Arabidopsis thaliana: one gene and its partner. The protein of the gene in region 1 interacts with the protein of each later gene in a pairwise test. Each region holds a gene or a part of one and is shown on either strand. Other genes may lie near its edges. The genes, in order: TT2 and TTG1.

Region 1 (3,808 bases):
CAGATTATATATTTGTTAATATCTAACATTATCGATATTCTATCGCAACATGGAATCATTAATATCTAACAATTTCGAACATTTTCAATGTTCATAACGCAAAACAATGTCAAAGTAAATTCAAACTACACGAAGTAAATGTATTGTATGACCACATATACAAAGTATAGGACGTCATGTGGTTAACACCATAGACATACAATTCCGATAAACCGGTCAGTTGACTCCGGCGTTGACTAGGGTTGACCGGCGTTGACCAACAAAAAAATTCAAAAAAATCTTTTAAATTATTTTAAATATTCAAAAATACAAAATATTTTTTTTTTGGTTTTGTATATTCAAAAACATATTCTATATTTCAATGCATTAAATCTTAGAAAAATTAGTTTTACAAAAAAAATCAAAATTTAACTAAAAATAGATTAAAAATCATTATTAAATTTTAAATTTTAAATGAAAACAGGAAAATATTATTATAGTTAATTAAGTAAGGAAATTGCTTATTTTTATAGTGTCAATTAAAACACTTCAATTATTTCTATACAATATTTTTTATAAAAAAAAATCAACCACAAAAATTATTAGAATAAAACGTAATACAAATGAATTTTATTTTAAAAACTTTTTTGCTGAAATCAACATTGTTAGATTTTCTATCTTTTTATATATTAAAAAGAAAAATTGCAAGTTTTTGGTTGTTTATGTGTTACTACGAGAACTTTTCTTAATAATATTTGTTACAAAAGGAACTACATAGTATACAAAAATAAATTTAGACTAAAGAGTATATAAAAAATATTATAATTTTCTTTACCATGCAAACTTTAGATTAAAGAGTCATATACTCAATTTCATATTGCTTCCTAATACAATTGAGTATATGACTCTTTAATCTAAAGTTTAATAATGATTTTTATTCTAGTTTTAGTTTAGTTTTGAAATTAAAAATAAAACTAATTATTATAAGATTTAATGCATTGAAAATACAAATATATTTTTACGAAATATAGAATATGTTTTTGAATATATAAAAGAAAAAAAATATTTTCGTATTTTTGAGTATTAAAAATAATTTTAAATTTTTTTGTTGGTCAACGCCGGTCAACACTAGTCAAAGCCTGAGTCAACTGACCGGTTTACCGGAATTGTATGTCAATGGTGTTAACCACATGACGTCCTATACTTCATATATGTGGTCATGTAATACATCTACTTCGTGTCTACTTCGTGTAGCTGGATATACAATGTATAGTAGGTATGTGTGACCATGTATTCTCTTATACTTTGTTTACCTAGCAATCTTTTTTTTAAATTAAAATAAATATGCGGTTTAGATATGAAACTACCCAACAAATTTAACATTTTAAACGTTCATAACGTAAAACGACGTCGTTATAGACACATATTTTCCATGTGTCTGCTGACTTATCATCTTCACGGAGTTGACTAACACCCGTTACTTTGACTCTGAATTTTGTACTTTTTCTTAAGTTGAGGTATGAAATTCAAATAAATATGCGGTTAATATATGAAAATACCCAACAAATTTTTTTGGATACGAAAATACACTCAGAAAATAGTACGGGTATGAAAATACCCTTTTCCCGTATTTGATACATGTCTAATTCGGTTCAAATAAACCGAATATGAAAATTTTCAGTTTTATTTCGGAAGTTAAATAAATCTAGATAACCGACCTGAAAAACCCGAGTCCCGACCGAACCGAACCGAAATTAAATTCGGTTTAATTCGGAAGCATTTCCAAAAACCGAAATTCCCTAAAACCGAATAACCCGACCCGATTAAACCGATTTGCCGAACTCCCAGGCCTAAATTCACACTTGGCTTAGAAAAACTCTTTGTAGATGTTAAAATTCGGTAAAATTAACCTCACCAAAGCTAATTATTACCAGGTGAAGAAAGCATTAAAATTTCAAAGTGTGTATGACAGAGGTTTTAGAAAGCGACTGATGTACGGACATATCAACAACTCCCCTATAAAGATACTCAGCTAAACACAAAAACAGAATCTATTCTCAACACAACACTAAAGACAATTGTACCAACCACACAACCACAAGAGAGAGAAAAGTGAGAATGGGAAAGAGAGCAACTACTAGTGTGAGGAGAGAAGAGTTAAACAGAGGAGCTTGGACTGATCATGAAGACAAGATCCTTAGAGATTACATCACCACTCACGGCGAAGGCAAATGGAGCACTCTCCCTAACCAAGCTGGTACTAATCTCTCTATCTACCGATCCGTCTTTATATCTTCTACGTACAATAATTGTCTTGGCACACATAAAAGGTCTCAAGAGGTGTGGCAAAAGCTGTAGACTTCGGTGGAAGAACTACCTAAGACCGGGGATAAAGCGCGGTAACATCTCATCTGATGAAGAAGAACTCATAATCCGTCTCCATAATCTTCTTGGAAACAGGTTTTTCACTAACCACATAGAATTTTCTTTTTGTAGTAAAGTTATTTGTTATGTGACATTATAATTAAAGCAGATGGTCGTTGATAGCTGGGAGGCTTCCAGGCCGAACAGACAATGAAATAAAGAATCATTGGAACTCAAACCTCCGCAAAAGACTTCCCAAAACTCAAACCAAGCAACCAAAACGTATAAAACATTCGACGAACAACGAGAATAATGTATGTGTTATACGTACAAAGGCGATTAGGTGCTCAAAGACTCTTCTCTTCTCGGATCTCTCTCTTCAGAAGAAGAGTAGTACTAGTCCACTACCTCTGAAAGAACAAGAGATGGATCAAGGTGGATCTTCGTTGATGGGAGATCTCGAATTCGATTTCGATAGGATCCATTCGGAGTTTCACTTCCCGGATTTGATGGATTTTGATGGTTTGGACTGTGGAAACGTTACATCTCTTGTTTCATCTAACGAGATTTTGGGAGAGTTGGTTCCTGCTCAAGGTAATCTCGATCTCAATAGACCTTTCACTTCTTGTCATCATCGTGGCGACGATGAAGATTGGCTCCGAGACTTCACTTGTTGAGCCTATATTGCAAAAACCTACGTTAATACATATTTCTCTATACGGACAAAAGTATATCTGTATTTGTCTGAACGCTTCTAATTACTAACTTACTAAGGAGACCAAGAAATACAAATAATTATACGATCCACATGTTATAGAAATGGGTTTTGTCTTTAACTAATAATTTTTTATTATTGCAAATACGTACGACATAAATATTTTTGATAGATTTTGTAAATTTATGTATGAGCAAATGATAGAGCTTTTATTATAACCTAACCACCGCTTAACCACCCAACCTATAAATTCTACTTGTGAATTATTGGTAATACGAATCAACTTTACAATTTTGTTATTACGAAATATTACTAGAATATACATGTATAGTCTATTTATAGGCAGGCATAGTCATTAATGTAAGGAATTTGTTCTTCTCATTTTTGGAATCATCGTATAAATAAATACTAGATGCATGGTTGTTCTAAGTCATGTGCCAGTACATATTTGAAAAACAAAACAAAGGAATATTCCGGATTTTCCCCCTATCTCCTGTATTTTATGGGTACAATTTAGAAGTTTATGTATTTTAAGGATACTAAAAAATCATGTATTTTATTGGACATCAAAAAGTGTTTGTATTTTAAAGGAAACTAGATTCTGACCCGCACATACGTGCGGGGTTTCATATTTTAAGAAATGTATTAGAATACATTTTTAGTGAAAGATATTGTAGTGTATAAATTATAATGTGCATAGAAAAGTGTATAGTGTTATTTATGATATAATAACTAAATTTTTTTTATTAA
Region 2 (4,961 bases), 5.4 Mb from region 1:
CGGTGATCTCGATTCCATCATCGTGGAGGATGAGAGCAGCATAAGTGCAGGCGAGCTCACTGGTCGACATTCTATCTACCTTTAACCTCTTTGTACTCTAAGTTGTATTATTATCGCTTGCATTTTAAGTTTTGAGGACGTAGGTATTTTATATTTGGGCTAGAATTTTGTAAAATTTAACCCATCACATAAAATCTGACAAGTAGCTTGATCTTAATTGTAACAAGATCACAACAAATTTAAAAACATTTTGACACATGTCAAATAGTTACATTTTAGAGTATACATTTGTTCCTAAATCTAAAAGATTTCATAAGCTAAATTTTCTATTTTGATCATCTTATAAATTGAAAAAAATATGAGTATCCATGTTTTCCAAATCACTTCTCAAACCATTAGAAAAACTCTATTTATATACAAAGAAACACATTGTGATTATTAGAATAAAATAAATAAAATTTTAAGTATGGTATGATATTATGGAGACAAAAGTTAAAAAGTAAAATTTTCATTTATAGTATATAGATTTATAACATTTTGGAATTCTACTATTAATGGTTTATAGATTCTTATATTTCTAGAGGAGATTATCGGATCAGTGATTTAAATTAATTCTCATTTTTTATAATTTTCAAGATTGAAAATTTTGCTACGATTTATAAGACTTCAGATGTGAAGATTCTAAAATATTTGTGTCAAACATTGGATTGTTTATAATAATTTACTCACCAAATTCCCATTGGAGTTCATTTCAAATCTTTGTGTCACATAGTCGACTGAAACTCCATTGAAATTCAATTTAAATCTGTGTCAAATAAACAAATAAGTCTTCCAATGGAATTTATACTGCAAATCTTTGTGTTAATTATGCAAAGAAGTTAATTCAAACTGACAAACTCCATTGGAATTCATTGCAAGCTGATTTATCTTAGAGACGTCCAATAAAGCAAGACAGGGTTGCATTGTACTAAGCTCCAATTACCAAATCTAAACACCAGAAACCGCAATATATCCTGGTTGGGTTTTATACACAACATAAGATAATAGTATCATTTGGTTCATCAAATGAATTCAGTTTTAGTTACAATCAGATAGATACAGAGTCATTGCGGACCTAAAAGCGAGAGGGAGCGCAAACCAAACCTACTTACGCACATGACGATTATACGGGTCTATGCTAAAATCCTTATTGATCACTTCACATCTGCACCTGACATCAAGTGAAATGTATAGTAATTATAAGGAAAGGTTATTTGATTTTCTAGGTTGCATATGTGCGTGTATATATGCAATGCTGTTGTCTAAATGAGTTACAAAAACCTGAAGCACACATACAAAGATGTTCAAACCAGCATGAAGTTTCCAATTCCACTTCTATATGTTTCTGAGGGCATACAGCACAGTCAGCAGTAAACAATTCTCAGATACTTCGTTAAATTAACAATATTTGTATACGTAGCTAGTGGCTTCGTTAAATTAAGAATAGATTGTCTCAAAAAAAAATAGACTGAAGAATTATGGGTAAAAATTAGAACCTGACGAGTGTACAACTATTCATCATATGATACATCAACTTAGATGAAAGCCAACATATGACTACTACACTATCAGCCATTACAGCAAGTGTGAGACCTGTCGCTAATAAGAGCCAATATATATGACTACTAAACTGTGATTTATGTATGCATAACAAAGTAATTGATTTTAACAGAGATATTGATTCAGGTAAATCTAAAACGAGTTAGTGTCAAATCTCTAGTGGCTTTGTTATCAAGAATCGAAAAAACGTTTAGTTACCAAACCTAGAAGACTATCTGTAATGCAACACAATCTAAACCAATAATCAATGCTTCCTCATTAGAATCTAGGCCTAGCAAATGAGAATTATGTAGCGAAACAGAAACTCTCACCTCAAACTCTAAGGAGCTGCATTTTGTTAGCAAAAGCAATACCAATCCAATCAGGCTGCGAAGAAGACCACTGCAACTGATTAATCTCCGAACCAGCCGAATAAACCGACATCGGATCAATCCCATTGGGTCCAGCAACAGTAGGAAGCTCCCAAATAAGAGCCTGTGTATCATCACCACCAGAACAAATATGTTTACAGCTCTGAGGCGCCCAAGCTATAGCATTCACACTAGCCTGATGTCTTTCAAGCTCAGCAACAGGCATAGTCGGCGAACGAATATCGAGAATCACAACCTTATTAGAATCCATCAAAATCGTAGCCATATATCTAAGATCTTGTTTGTTCCAAGCAAGTCTTAACAAAGGCGTATCAGGCTGAGGACTCTCGTAAATGATTGTAGAATGTTCCTTATCACGTAAATCAAAGATCCTAACGGATCCATCAGCAGAGACTGATGCGAAAACCCTAGCTTCTCCCCAAGCAATGTCATGAACCTCTTTATCATGAGCTATAAGCTGAGTCTCAACAACAGACTTCTCAATATCCCAAATCGTACACGTCGTATCAATACTACAAGTTCCGAGACGTTTCGGCTCTACATCGTTCCAATCGAAGGAAGTCAACGGCGCACAAAACTCGCTCGTTTTGCTGTTGTTGAGAACCGAGATTGGCTCGACGGTTGATGAATCTTCGTTAATTTCCCAAAGACGGAGGAAATCGCCGGAGGAAGCGAGGAGATCTCCGGAGGAAGGACGACGGAGAGAAGGAGGACTGAACATTAGCTTTGTTGGAGGATAAGGATGCTCGAAGGAGAGATTCGGGAGAGGCTTAACGGTCATTGAATCGGAATCGAAAGAGAGAATGTCGATGCGGTTGTTGTAATCTTCGAGGAAGCTTCCGACGGCGATTCTGTGACCGGAGGATGAGCGGAGAGAAGAGAAAGCCATGGCGTAGAGTGGATATGGTGAGTCGTATGTGACGGCGGTTTCCGATCTGGATAACGAATCTGGAGCTGAATTATCCATGGAAATGTGTGGTGCTGATTCGATTCGAGATTTGGCTTCTTCACGACGAAAGTGAGAGGAGAGTTTTGAGGTCAGTGTCAGTCGGATTTTTCAAGAGACGGAGAAATAATCAATGGAGACGGCGTAGATATAAACCCTCTGGATTAATCAGTATCTTTTAATGTATCTATTGATAATGGGCTTCTGTATATTCAGATAATGGGCCTTTTATTTTAACGTTAAGAGCTATAGAATGGCCTAATTATTGGATCACTAGGATGACATGAAACACTAACAACATTAATATGTGACACTCTAATCATTTTACTAACAATTGTCTAATTCAGCTAAAATAAATTGTTTGTGATTAAGATAATCAACAATCCTTTTTTATTATTATTATTAAGAAAATGTAAAATTTATTCGAAAAAAGCTTTTAACATTCGGTAAATAATTTGCATACAATTTTTCAAGAAAGTTCTACTCCCCTTTAGTGTTTATATTAAAGCAAACCAAGCTTCCATGCATTCATCGTAGCTTCTATCTCCTTGTTCACGAATAGAGAAGATCCAGATTCAAATTTGTTTGTCAATATTTGGAAGCAGTTGCGCCGGCGGTAATGGTGCCTCTCCATGTCTCGTATTGTTGCTCTCTCTCCATATGGAATAAACGCGATCTCAAAGGTGTAACGTGCTAAAAAGAGATTTAGTCTTCCCAATGACGTGTCTGTGAGGGTTCTTTCAACATCACTCCACCTTGCAAGTGAATAATAAGCTTAGTTAGTCTGCTAATCTTTATCTGAAATTTGGTTGTTGGCATTTATCATAAGACATCGAAGTTGTAAATTTGGAGACAATATAAATCTAGCATTAAACACATGTCAAATGGAGGATTTATCAAGTGGTAACATAAATTCTTATCATAATCTAGCATAAGTCATGAATCAATAAATAAATAATAAAAACTAACCACTAAATATGATGAAAAGCATAAACATAACTAAAGAATATAAATAAAAGATAAGAGATTAAAAGGTGAAAAAATCTTTTACTAATTGGAATGAGAATATGAAGATCTTGATCCAAAATGTAAGAACATTATATAGATCTCAAAATTTATGAAGGGAGAAGAAAACTTAGGTTAAAAATGTCTAAAGCTTACTTAAATAAGAAAAGATTCAAATTAAACATGACTAGAATATGTGTAGAAAACTCGAAATAATGTTTTTTAAAACACATTTATGGGTTATTACGATTTTTCTGTACAATGACAGAGGTTCAAATTTAGAGGAAAGGGACATAACGAAAGACGCCCTACTTTGACATGCCCTACCTGCTTCAACCCCAAACCCACGTTTACTCCAAATTCATACTATTTGATATTACATCAATCAATACAAATAGATACATCCAATAATTCGTACATACTCGTGATATTCACTTATTTAGAATAATAGTCAATAGTTCATACTGTAATTAATAAATTAGCCCATTGACGACAAAAAAAAATGAGCTCATTAATTAGCTACCTAGTATATTATCTTGATCAAATGTTGGTAATTCAATTAGCTAGTTTTTGGGGAGAATAAAGTATGGAAGAATAGGGTGCGGTTCATAAGAGAGTTAGCTAAGGAGGTATTGGAGGCGAGAGCTAGTAGCGGAAAGGCAACACAAAGGGCTGGTCGGGTTGAGAAGCTGATAAAATGGCTTATCTCGTCTATGGGCTGGTTTAAATTAAATACTGATGGGGTATTTTATGGCAATTCGAGACTCGCGGCTGGTGGTGGTCTGATACGTAATGAGGAGGGTGAATGGTGTGGAGGCTATGCGCTAAACATAAGGATGCTTATTTTATGGCCTATCTACCAACTTGACATTAAGAATGCTTATTTACAACGTATGAGACCGTTTGCCTGTTTTCATCCCCATATTTGTGGTAAATGGTGGTTGAGATTTTGAAGACAAGGTTATGGGACTCTCATCTGCTATCATTTCCAGTACGTTTGCGCTATAGTTTTTTATCGAAAAACTAGATTGACCGTGTTT

The links.
Region 2: the proteins of TT2 (region 1) and TTG1 interact in a two-hybrid assay, tested with the Arabidopsis thaliana proteins (one study listed by BioGRID).

What each region holds. Positions count from the first base shown.
Region 1 is NC_003076.8:13,724,710-13,728,517, forward strand, and holds TT2 (Duplicated homeodomain-like superfamily protein), read left to right. Parts: upstream 1-2,033; 5' UTR 2,034-2,097; coding exon of another isoform or gene 2,098-2,161; coding exon 2,162-2,439; intron 2,440-2,512; coding exon 2,513-3,020; 3' UTR 3,021-3,252; downstream 3,253-3,808. UniProt on the Arabidopsis thaliana protein: Transcription activator, when associated with BHLH2/EGL3/MYC146, BHLH12/MYC1, or BHLH42/TT8. Involved in the control of flavonoid late metabolism in developing siliques.
Region 2 is NC_003076.8:8,369,797-8,374,757, forward strand, and holds TTG1 (Transducin/WD40 repeat-like superfamily protein), read right to left. Parts: upstream 3,052-4,961; 5' UTR 2,938-3,051; coding exon 1,912-2,937; 3' UTR 1,911-1,911; intron 1,385-1,910; exon of another isoform or gene 1,336-1,384; intron 1,211-1,335; 3' UTR 521-1,210; downstream 1-520. Other genes in the region: AT5G24510 (60S acidic ribosomal protein family), read right to left, coding at 2-70.